Drosophila melanogaster: one gene and its partner. The protein of the gene in region 1 interacts with the protein of each later gene in a pairwise test. Each region holds a gene or a part of one and is shown on either strand. Other genes may lie near its edges. The genes, in order: CG14443 and Zcchc7.

Region 1 (4,666 bases):
CTGGCTGTATAGAAAATATTGACCCATATATGTCAGAATTTGAACGGTAGGCGAACCAGCGAATTGGTGACAGAAGCCCAAATGATTCGATATGGATCGAGATCTAGGCGGATTTTCACAATTTATAACGATAGAAAACGTATTAAGTTTGAATATCCTATGACGGTTCTTAAAACTTTAAGGTACGCATAAATACATAAATGGCACATGTAAATATCATAAGGGATTTAGTATGAACTGAAACCGTATTTGAATATTGATGCGCCTGCCATGCATTTTACTTAGCTGCACTTCACTTGCATAACATCACGTCTTCTGAGCTCTGGATGCACAACTTTCTTTGCGGACGTGCCATCCATGCCTCCCATTCGTCATTACCCCATTTTTTAGTCCCCCCCCCCCTCCCAAAAAAAAAAAAACCATTTCAACTGGCCTAGTTAAATCAATAAACATTTAAAGGGTTAAATCCATTATACATTAACAATTTAAGTTAGTTAAGCCATCAAAATGTTTGCCAATAACATATATATCCGCTATATCGACCCTAATGCATGCGATTGTAGCGTTGCGGACGATGGCGCCTTCGTTGACGGGGACCAAACATCTTTTCTTCAGCGAGCTGAAGAAGATGCGGTCCAATTTCTTGTTTACAGATCTTAAGAAAATCGACCACTTCCGTCACGAGCTTGTAGTTTGCCATGGTAAAGAAGCTGATGACCTCGCAGTTACGGTTATACGACAGGCATCCCGTTCTGCTCATGCGTTGAACATACTTATCAATGTTGTCCGGGAAATCATAATTGATCACATAACGAATGCCTGGCACATCCAAGCAGTTCGATGTCATTTGCGTGGCCACAATGATATTGTAGGCGCCAGTGCCAAAATCATGGATTATTCCTTGATTTTCTTGGGCAGTGCGTCCACCATGGATGCCCTCGCAGGGTACACAATTCCGGATCAAATCCACCAGTTCTTCCACGACCTTTTGGCGCTTCACATAGATCACCACCTTACCGGGAATATCGCTTGTATCGTAAATAGCAGTCAGCTCCTTCATAAGGCGTTCTACTTTCGATAGCCCATTGACTACCTCCACCCGCTGGCGGATGTTTTGTAATCGCACGCCTATATTGTTTATTTCACCCACGCGAATTGCGGTGTATTGGCCCAAAAACTTGTTGGCCATCCGTTTCAGATTAGATGACCACGACGTGCTGCTGACGATCAATTGGGCATGCGGACGTAGACGGCATAGTAGTCGGCAAATGTTACCCTCTAAGCCCACATCAATCATGCGATCAATATTGTCCAGAACCAAATATGTGCAGCGTTCCAGTTCTACAACATGTTTTTTGTTATCAATCATTTGAAGCAGGCGACCAGCAGAGGCCACCAGCAGATCGCATTCGGCATGACCTTGCCATTGACTGTTGCCCAAGAGGCAATGCGTCCTAAGCTCGAGAGGATTTGTATAGTACAATACCTCTCTTTGGACCATGACAGCAGCCTCACGGCAGTCCACCAATATCAAGACAATCGGTCCTTTCTTGTGCTGCATTAATCCGCGCTGATTGTGCATCTTCATTATGCCCGGCAATAGATAGCCCAATGTTTTACCCGTACCCTTTCCAGAAATCATCACAATATTTTTGCCCTCCTTGGCAATCGACCATGTTTGTGCCTGAATGGGCGTGGGCCCATCATAGCCTTGATCCTCCAGTTGCTGTAATATGGTTGCATTGAATCCGCTGCGCTCGAAACTCAGCACAGGCTCCGGAAGGTTTCGCATATTCCAGCTGGTCAAGGTGATATTGTGGCGTTTCCGATAATTAGCGGCATTATTATACACCTCATCCATCGGCTGCTTCCAGGTATTGTAATTACTAGGGCGGCTTGGGTTTTTGGATTGGTCCTGATAACACAAAGTATTCCGATGGGGACTGCGGCTTCTGGTGAAGGAGCGGCTAACCAAAATCTTTTGAATGGAGCTGCAACTCATGCTCCTCGATTGACTCTTCTTCCAGGGAGTGCGCATTCCGACCCTCCACGAATTGCGGCCGCGATTGGACGGACTTTTGGGTTCTGGACTCCCGTACGTCAGATCATTTTGGGTCTTCGAAGGACAAAAGCGCTTTTGCGGTAGACTGCTGCTCCTGCTTCTTGATTCTTTATTTTCACGAGAGGTTTTCACGGCCTTGAAAGAATTTGGCGATTGCCAAGTTTCATGAATGCGAAAAACAGCGCTTCGCATGCGTGGCCTCTCTCCCGTATCGCTACCGTGAGAACTTGATCCCGTAGTGGAATCCGAATCGGATGACGAGCCGGAATTGGAATCGGATGAACTCGATTCGGATCCGGAAGAATGAGCAGACTCAGAACTGGACCGCAAATGGGATTTTCCTCTAAACTTGCCATTACCCATGCTCCTGCTTTTCGACCGGGATTCGCGCGTAGACTTGGAAAATCCGCCAGCAGAATGCGGACCACTGAAACTCTCGCTCCTGATTTTGAAATTTGGTTTCTGTCCCTCAATTCCGTGTTGTATTGTGAAAAGCCTTTTCGTAACGAATTTGGAGGACAAGACAGAGCTTGAGGATTTTAAAGATCTGGACTGACCGCTTATGTCCGAAGCGCTGGAGCCCCAAATCGAAGACTTCGTACCCTTAAGGAACGGCTTTTTCTGAACCTTTTCTGCATCGGTTTCGTTGTCTTTCCAGTTTCCAATCACCAGTTTCTTAGCTTTCTCACACATTTTCTGCAGCACTTATTTGCGTTTGTTCACTTCCAATTTTTGCCAAGGCAATAAAAAAATCTCCTTACGAACACAGCGAAATGCCACGTGTTATGAAAAAAGTTGACAACTCTAAGCTTTGGTGTTGGTTAATTTTCAGTGTGTCCTCCTCTTAGTGTTGGTAAATTTAAATACATTTAAATTTAATGAAATAAAAAATTCCCATATGTGTTTGTTATTGTTCTTAATAAAATGTAATGTTATAAAATGTAATTTCTTATTAAGGGGCATGAACTGAGGTTTGAGTCCGTATTAATCTGGAAGATTAATAATTTAAGTGGACTTTTTATGGTCTTCAATATGCTTAATTTCCCGAGTGCAGACTGTTCCAGTTCCGGACTGAGATACGGATACGGGTTTGTACTCCGCTGGCGGAAGTTCAGAGCGCTCTTACTCAATCGAAAGACCCACATTGGGTGGGTTATCTGCCGTATAATTGGCGAGTGTGAGTGTCTGAATGTTTGGTCAATTAAAAGCATTCGCTGGCTTTTTTATCAAATTCAATTAGCCGACGACGAAAGCAAAACAAAATCCAAAAAAAAAAAAACCAAAAACGCCGCAACAAAGTTGCTCAATGCGGAATTCAGAGGAGGGTTTTACCATCTCTCTAAATAAAAATCATAAAACTAAAAAACAAAAAATGAATAAATAATATAAAGTACACATGCATGCATATGCGAGGAGTTCTAACTATAGAAAATCCGTATAATTAACTAGATAAATTGGCAAGCAATTGGCTGTACAGCTCGTTAAGGCTAATGATCGTCGGACAGCTAACGATCTCCTTTGGCTAATTGGCCAACAGTACGGAACACCCCTCCGCGACCCGGTTTTCAGACCACCCTTCATTTAATGTGGCCATCAAGTCGTAATTACGCTCGTTGTTGAAACGATGAAGACATCAAATTGCATTGCATCGCCTTTAGAATTGCTGGCCATTCAAAGAGATTTGTTTTGGTTTAAGATCCCAATCAGTCCGGAGTTTCAATTAAAGTTCCATTAACGCTTCGCGACACACACAATTATCAAAAAATTATATTTATGCTTATGACATTTCCGGCAGCTCCCCAGTTACCCAGCCCCTCCACACTTTCCACCAGTGCAAAATTTATGCTCCCCTGTCTGAGTCATTTCATTTATTTCGAGACAGCGCAGACAGAAGATCAAAGCGACTTCATGATTATGCTGCACGCATATCCATCACCATATCGAGCTCGAGCACTCGCCTCGGGGTGGAGTTGTCTATGGATCCATGGATGCACTCGAGGATTGGGGGGGGGGGGGCATGTGTGTGCAGGTGCTGGTGCAGGTGAGGCTGTGGCTGTGCCTGTCGCTGCTGCTGCTGGGATCGCTGTGTGTGGCTATAGTGGTTGGGGTAGTGGCTAATCGGCACTAAGCGTACAAAAACACGTGACCAGTTACCAAGTTGGTGGATTACTTATAAAAATAGTTAGTCTCAAGCTAAAATCGATGAAAAATGCTCCACAAAATGTGCCATATAAAGTTTTAAAGTTTTTTTTTTTTTAAATATCCTTATTTACTGCCATTTAAGGTCACTCTATACAGTATTACTAAACCATAACGACATTGCCCAACACTAACTTACTTTATTTAATTTGTGCGCCGACAACACATTTCTATGCAACTAATGTTGCACTGGGCATAAATTCTCGGCTATGTTCCCCGAAGAAAATCCACACACACACATCACTGGGAAGAAACGAGAGGAGATCCACGCAGCAGGAGACCCCCCAAAGGGGGCAAGGCGATCTCGTTGGCGATACGAATCCGTAAAGCAGCAGCAAAAAACAACAAGACACACAAAAAAAAAAAAGCAAACCAAAACCAAAACAACAACAAAGCGGCCAAGTA
Region 2 (7,946 bases), on another chromosome or scaffold:
GTTTTAGATTATTATCCAAAAATCGACTTCTTAATGTTTAAAGCTTATTCTTTTCAGAATCCCTCAAATCCCAGTTCCACGGGAACTATTACCGAGGAGCACATCAAAGCATCAATCATTAGCGCTATCGACGACAAGCTGCGCCGCCGAGTTCAGGAGAAAGTTAATCAGTATCAGGCCGAGATCGAAACTCTCAATCGCACCAAGCAGGAGTTGCTCGAGGGCAGTGCCAAGATCGATGCCATTATAGAGCGCCTCGAGCGCGAACATATTGATATGCAAAAGAACATAAGTATATTAAAGGACAAGGAGCAGGAGCTGGAAAAAGCTCTTGAAGATCTTGAGAGCGCCGAGGCCATTAACCCCGACGAGGCGGTGACCACCACAGCGCCACTTTACCGACAGTAAGTTGAATGTCTGCGTGCGCATTCCAAGATTCATGCTAGATAATTAATGGTTTATCCACCCGCAGGTTACTCAATGCCTATGCCGACGAAGCGGCCACCGAGGATGCCATATATTACTTGGGCGAGGGTCTCCGCGGAGGTGTCATCGATCTGGAGACCTTTCTTAAGCACGTGCGACAGCTATCCCGCAAACAATTCATCCTACGGGCCACCATGCAGAAGTGCAGACAAAAGGCCGGTCTAGCGGGCTAGAAGAGCCATGATTTCAACAGTTGCCGTGATTTCTTATTCGACGGGGTAGTGCGAGCACGTGCAGACGATTTATATGTTACCATCAAAAATATTCGATAAGTTTTAAGCGCAAATTGAATCTTAAAAATTGAAATTATAATAACAATAATCCTAAATAAAACAAAGGCCTCATGTATGTTAACGCCCACGATCAGATCTTCAGTTTATTTCTATGCGGAATGGTGTCTTATCTCATACGTAAATACCGACGGTTAGAAGCAGGAAAACAATGCCGAATCCCAGGAAAATGGAGGCGCACAGGCTAATCAGCAGTTCCTTTATCAAGGTGCTTTCCTTAGAGCTCTTTCGAGACACCACAAAGATGAAGAACCAGGCGGTGAAGAAGGTTCCGATGACCAAAAGCACGGTGGCGAGGTGGGGAAAAACGGCCGGGTTCACGGGCGATACGTAGCGCTGCATTACGTCCATACTAGAAATAAGATGATCCGGTTAAGCTATTAGTTTAACACACTTGCGGCACTCTTACATTGAATTTTAGCTTTAATTACTTCTTGTTATTTTTCGACGCGAATTGTACGTGGCCCGGCAGCTAGGGTTGCTCCTCTTGTTATCGTTATCGGAGGCACCCACAATTGACTGCCAGTTTACACGTATCGAAACGAGAAGTATCATAAATTTTTTTTTTTTGTAAATTTTTTTTTGGTTTTTTTTGGTTTTTTTGGTTTTTTTTTTGGTTTTTTGTAAATTTTAAATTTTAATTTAACATTTTGAGAGATAAAAAACTCGGAGTGGAAAATTATTCATTTTTATTTATAATGCCATAGTGAATAATTAAGTGTTAATTTTAAAACTTAAACCAAATTCGAACCGTTCGTTGATGTAAATTATTTATTTTTTGCCAGCTAGTAGAAGTACTGTTGTCAGATTTTTTAGTTTACTATTCGATAGCAACATTTTCCGATAGCCAGAGTGTCATCACTGCCTCGATTGACATGCTCTCTCCAGCTTGCCCACCACTGCCATCAACGTGCTCTCTTTCATTATATTACTTTTTATCAATGCGCAGGAAAAATAAATCAAAGGCAAAGGAAAACAAAGACGCGCAATATGAGTGATGTGAGTGTTGGCCCAAATACCCGTTATTCCTACCGATCTAATGCATTCCAATCCGCAGCTTGAGGAGATGGACAGCGAACGGCTGAACGAGCTAGAATCAATTCTATATGCCTCGATCCACTACAGCGATGGATTCGAAGAGCACACTGCCATGGATCAGCCTGCGAAGGAGTCAACCAGCGACCAGGATGCCAGGAGCATGCCACCGCCTCCTCAGCAGAAGCATCCCATTCCCGGACAGCGTTTCGTCAGCGGAACACGAGTGATCAACAACAGCATGCAGAAACCACGCTACTGGATCGATGGTGCGGCAGCTGTGGGGGAGGGGCAGGTGGTGCAGGCGGAGGAACAGCAGGCCACCACAAACAAAACAATGCCAGGTGAGTGGCAACCATTGGCAAATGGTATATATGAAGTAATAAAAACCATAAGCTAGCATAAAAATATACCCAAAAATGTACCCAAAAAAGGTAGGATCCAATAAGATCCAATATCTCACAAGTTATTAGGTAATTTAAATCATAGTAAATATAATCATATTTAATCGGTCGATTTGTAGCTATAACTGTTTAAAACTCAAAACAAAAAAAATTAAACGTGATTCATAATCTTAGGTATTCTTAGCTAGTTCATTTGTAGTCTTTTAGTTCCGCCCCATTTCATAGTAGTCAAGAACATTTCCTACTTCCATCAGTGGGGATCAGCCCAGCTTTTGGGCATTAGGCTGCTTTCATCCTTTTCAAAACTATTTCGTTGGCGTGCTTTCAAAATTCTCCATAACCTTCCAATGATGACCTGCTTCCTCAGTCGCTTTCTGGGCCTGGGCAGGTGCGGTCTGCAGGTGCTCGAAAGGCGGATGGGCCATTTCAACCATTGCACCTTGGCCCTGGCCACTCTCGACCTTGTCTGCATTGTTTGCCTGCTCCATTACCAACTGGCGCGGCATGGCCGAGATCTGTTTTTTTGGTGCGAGGAACTGGACCAACGACTAGTGGAGTACATGCTATCTGCAGTCGTATTGATGGCCAGCGTTAGTGTGCTGGGCTCGTGTGTGGATGGCTTTATCTTCTCTGCCTTGGTTCAGCGGAAAATGAGTCGGTTTGATATGCCGCGACAGTATTTTGAAGATCGTTACCGCAGATTCGTCTTCATGCGGCTGGTCAGGCAACTAGAGCAGGCTCTCAAAGTGCAGGCTAAGCAGTCTGAGTTGGGCGAAAGAATGATGACGCCACTCGCCAATCTGTTCGAGGCGCAGCAGCTGATCAAGGAGGCAATCGATGAGTTTCGCACAGCGGTGCGAGTCCTACTGTGGCCCAATCGATCCGATGTGCTGGCAGAGGCGTTTGTCCTCTTCCACATAAGCGAATCGCAGTTGTCGGATCTGACACTTCAAGGCTACAGGCTGAACGACGTCGAGGGGGAAGACATGTCCAATTCCCGTCTTAGTCAAATGCTTAACCCACTTTGGTATTAAAATTGGTGCTATAGTTCAGAAACTGCATTTTTAATTTGTCAATGAAAATGTTGGGTTGTATCAAAAGATTTGGTTTATTCTTAAGAATTTCTGCTAATTTGCTATTCACATTTATTCATATCGCCTATACAAATAAATATAAGAATCACATTTTAATTTATGGTTCTTGTCTCTTAGCTGTTGAAGAAAGTTCCTCATCACAATCGATGGATGTCGATATGCCGCAAGACAAGAGTCTATTGCTGTCGCCCGAAAAGGGAACGTCCAATCAACCGAAAACTGCTAGCCAGCCCCCGAAACATCAGCAAATCCCACAGGCCAAGCAACAGCAAAATATTCATGCAAAACAATTGCAAAATCAACAGGCAAAGCCTCAGGAGCAAAAAAATTCACAACAGAAACAGCAGCAGAGTCTTAAGCAACAAAATCAACAATCCAAGCAGCACCAAAATCAGCAAAAGAAGTCGGCGCCAGTAGTACAAAAACCAAAACCGCAGCCAAACGCATCCACCAAAGTGAATCACGAAGCCTACGAGGCGGAGCGTTTTGACCAGAGACTTCTAGTCGCCATCCCACCGAACTGCCCGCCCAAGAAGCAGAATAAGCCACAACAAAACAAGCAACAGCAGCAGCAAAACAAACAGCAGCAGAAAAAGCAACAGCAGTCGCTGCAACATAACAAACAGCAGCAGCAATCAGGACCTGGACCGTTTGGCAAAGCCAACCGCAAGTTGGAGCAGATTCAGCGTCTGGCAGATAAGAAACAGAAATCCAAGCAGGCTCAGTTAAATAAAAAACAGCGAAAGCAGCAGTCTCCGCCGGTGGAGTTTGTCAACCTGGCAGAAACAAGCGAATCTTCCGATGACGATGATGTGGTTCATGTACCACTTCCGCCAGCTCCTATCATCGAATTGGACACGAGTGACGGCGAGCAGACCTGCACCTCATCTCAATTGTTTCACGAAGAGAATGCAATGGACGCCACAGACGTGAAAATGGGATTGTCTTGTATTACTGAACCAGAGGGGACGAGTGTTGTTGCTAGCAGTACCACACCACCCATGCATTCACCGAGCTGTTCCGTCATGTCCAGTGATGACTTCATAGTGCAGAAGGATACCACTCGCTTGTTGACAGAATGTGAGAACGCCAATGATGAAGATCTGCTGGTACTAACCGAGACGGCTATAAGAGAAGCTATTGGCGAGGAACCAAAAGATAAGGAAGTTGTGGAAAATGCATCTGAGGAACAAGAACATGATCATGCGGCTGATACCTCGTCGGAATATGAATTTGTTCCTCCTTCACGACTGGAGGAAATTAAGAAAAACTATCGCGTCGACGATCAGCAATTCAGAGCTTTAGACGTCTACGAAAGTGAGTCTGACCTCACGGAAAGTGGCATTTACTCAAAAGCCAAGAGCAAGACCACGCCAACGATCATACGCAACGTAGACTCATCATCGGGCAGCTCTTCCGTCGAGGAGGTAGTGGAGCCTAGTGTCCAAAAGACGAAGCGTCTGCGCAAACGCTCCTGTTCAACAAACAATCACAGCCAATCTGATCCAAACAACGACGATGGGTTGGATGATTCAGACAGCGATGATGGCGTTCATGCTACTGGAGTTCCTGGCATAGCACGTGGTATGGCAGTGGAGCGTTGTAAGCGCAAAATCCGTAGAATCAGTACCAGACATAGCTCTGATGACAATTCGAAGAAGGCGGCTACACGTATCCAAAAACCGAAAGTTGCTGCAGTCCATCATGCTAGCTCAGAATCTGCGTCTGAGGATGAGTTACCAAGTGCCAGAGATATAGCCGAGCGACTTCTTAATCAACAGCAAGGACAAGGAAAGGTGCAGGTACAAAAAGGCGATGGCGATGACGATGCCATTTCTATCGGATCCGATGAAGATTCCCATGCAGAGGCGGAGTTTCGCGATGCTATGACAGATCGATTAGCTGCAGTCTTCGAGCGTCTTGATGCCAAAGCCAAAAAAATGGAAGAGGACGAGGAACAAGTGAATGCGAGTGGATATATATCCGATGAAGAAGACTCGCGAGACAAAAGTGCAGACACCACTGTGCGTTCCGACGAGGATATTGATGCTTCTAACGATCTTGAGGAGACGAATCCAGATAAGAACGACAGAGACGTGACAAACGAAGAGCAGCACGTACACGTGGAGCACAATTTGCAAGAGCTAAGAGACGAAAGTCTGCCCAAAAGCGGAGACCTCATTGGCTGGAACGAAGAGATGCGCAGCTTCTACAATGACAGTTGGAATGGGGAAAACTTCTCTGTTCACAAGGTCCAAAGAATGATGACAGGTGATGTTACCTTTAGTAGTTAGTAATAAGCGAATGCAGCTATTAACCTACTGTAATTGCAGGGCATCGCCACGAGTGGAGGATCAACACCGCGGATAGATGTCCGGTAGCACGACCCCGCTCCCATGCTAAGTGCTCCAACTGCTTTGAGATGGGACACGTTCGATCAAAGTGCCCGCGTCCCCGCAAGCCACTTGTTTGTTTCATTTGCGGAACCATGGGTCATGCCGAGCCCCGCTGTCCCAATGCCATTTGTTTTGGGGTAGGTAATTGAACTACTTCAACTAGAACATACTAAACAAGTCCTTTCAATTTTCTAGTGCGGATCAAAGCAGGAAATTTACGTGCAGCAGTGCAACAAGTGCTCCTTTCACAGCCGCCTGGTCTGCCAGCTGTGCAAAATGAGAGGACACGGCGTGGATCACTGTCCGGATAAGTGGCGTCGCTACCACTCAACGGTAATACCTATTAACCATTCAGTGCAGAAATCAATGCAATCCTCATTTTTCTTTGCCAACAGACTCGGTCAAATACTGAGCTGGATAGCCGGGTACAGTATAGGAGCGTACAGTGCAGCTACTGTGCCGGTCGCCATTCTTTCGAGAACTGCCGACAGCGGATTGGTGACTTTCGTAGCACGAACTATACAAGCCAGATTGTGTCTCACCAAAAAATCTACAAGAATCGCGGTGGCCCGATAGGTAATCTTGGCGATTTAAAAAGCTTTTTTGCTATTGAAACTCCCTTCCACTTTAAGTGGAACAATCCGAGTATGCCGAAAAATTGCTATTATTCAAGGTTCCTTGTCAATGCGAACTTGGCAAAAGTCCAGTCAGTCAAAAGGAAGTCAACTACTGCAGTATCGCAGATTCCAGAAAAGATTTATACCCACGAATATGTGCCCAATGCTCAGGTGAAGGCAGCTCGAGGGGAGGTATCCACTGGAACGGCTAAGAAACCGCTCACAAAGCAAATGCCAGTTGTCGAGTCAATCGCTGAGAACCGAACCGCAGAGGAGCCAATTGGAAAGCTGAATCGTGAAGACGAAAAATCTAAAGATATACTACCGCTCCCAGAGGTCCCACCGGAAGTGAAGCAAACTCAAGATGAGAAGCTTGTGGAGGGACAACCTAATCAAAGCCAACCCGATGAAGAGCTACCCATGAAGGATGATGATCAAGAAGAACCATCGTCCTCTGTGCAGCGTGAAGAGATTACCACCAATTTCGACAATCCACCAACGGAACCTGGCCTAAGTAGAACACCATTGGCGCCCCATGAGTTGGACTCAGATTCGAATTACAGTTTTTCCGAGCACTTTGAACTGCCCAGCTCGACAACCAGTGATGGTCAACCCAACACCCAACTGCCGCTCGTCCGCACCATGGGGACTCTACCCGATGTCATACCCCTAAGTAAAGACGATTTTGAACTATCCTCTAACGTCCAGGGAATTTCCATGTGTGTTAACTCCAGTAGCACCAGTTTACGCACTGACGAAACGCCCGATCCGGACTCCAGTGAAGAACTGCCAGATGTTCCAAGCGAGGGCAAAATCATTATGGCGCGCGAAGAATCCGAGTACCTGTTCAGTGCGGAGGGCCGAACTTTTCTGGCGGCAGCCGCCAAACAGTGTCATGTAAGCGTGCGGATGGACTTTAAGGACTACGGTTATGTACTGGTGATATATGGCCTTAAAAAGCACCAGGAAGAGTTGCAAGTGAAACTGCTTCGACGCAGTCAGGAAGTCAAGCGCAAGAGCATCGAGTTCCAGAGCCAGAAACCCCCCAAACGTATTGATGTGCTGATCCGCTTTCTGCGGGATGGAATCAACAGTCTAAACACCAATCTAGGAAACGCCAAGAGCCACTACGTGCGCATCAAGGAGCTAGAGGGGATGAACACCAAAAACGGTTTTAAGATGGCAGAAAAAAAGCGCCGCCAGCTTAACATGATCCTCGTCGGCCAGGCGGGACTCCTGAATGGCAAAACACATCTCGATCAGTTGCTAGTCTTATTGCGTCGCCTGATCGATGACTTCTCGCCAGATGAACACGCCACGCCACAGTTGCGCAATGAGATCGAGGAGCATTGGCGAATGATCTTCTCGTCATATCCGCATCCGAATTACGACTCTCTGCTAAACAGCTATGGACGTTTGGATCAAAAGAATCGCTTGCCCTCGTTGCACATAGATCCTGTGCTGTTGGGACTGCAACAAAAGAAAACGCAGAGTCAGCCGCAATCGCCTAGTAAGGGGCCACCATCGCCAACGCCTCTCCCACCAGTTCGGCAGGACATGGCTCCACCACCACCTCCTAAAATGTCAAAGAAGAAGCAACGTCAAGCCCTGGATCAGCAAACAC

Evidence for each region.
Region 2: the proteins of CG14443 (region 1) and Zcchc7 interact in a two-hybrid assay, tested with the Drosophila melanogaster proteins (one large-scale study listed by BioGRID).

What each region holds. Positions count from the first base shown.
Region 1 is NC_004354.4:6,632,048-6,636,713, reverse strand, and holds CG14443 (uncharacterized protein), read right to left. Parts: upstream 2,756-4,666; coding exon 545-2,755; downstream 1-544. UniProt on the Drosophila melanogaster protein: Probable ATP-binding RNA helicase.
Region 2 is NT_037436.4:16,843,735-16,851,680, forward strand, and holds the start of Zcchc7 (zinc finger CCHC-type containing 7), read left to right. Parts: upstream 1-1,651; 5' UTR 1,652-1,766; coding exon 1,767-1,775; intron 1,776-1,833; coding exon 1,834-2,155; intron 2,156-2,492; exon of another isoform or gene 2,493-2,562; coding exon of another isoform or gene 2,563-3,249; exon of another isoform or gene 3,250-3,266; intron 3,267-3,426; coding exon 3,427-5,580; intron 5,581-5,642; coding exon 5,643-5,842; intron 5,843-5,900; coding exon 5,901-6,038; intron 6,039-6,100; coding exon 6,101-7,946. Other genes in the region: TSG101 (tumor susceptibility gene 101), read left to right, coding at 58-404, 473-659; kud (kuduk), read right to left, coding at 891-1,127; CG32161 (uncharacterized protein), read left to right, coding at 2,563-3,249.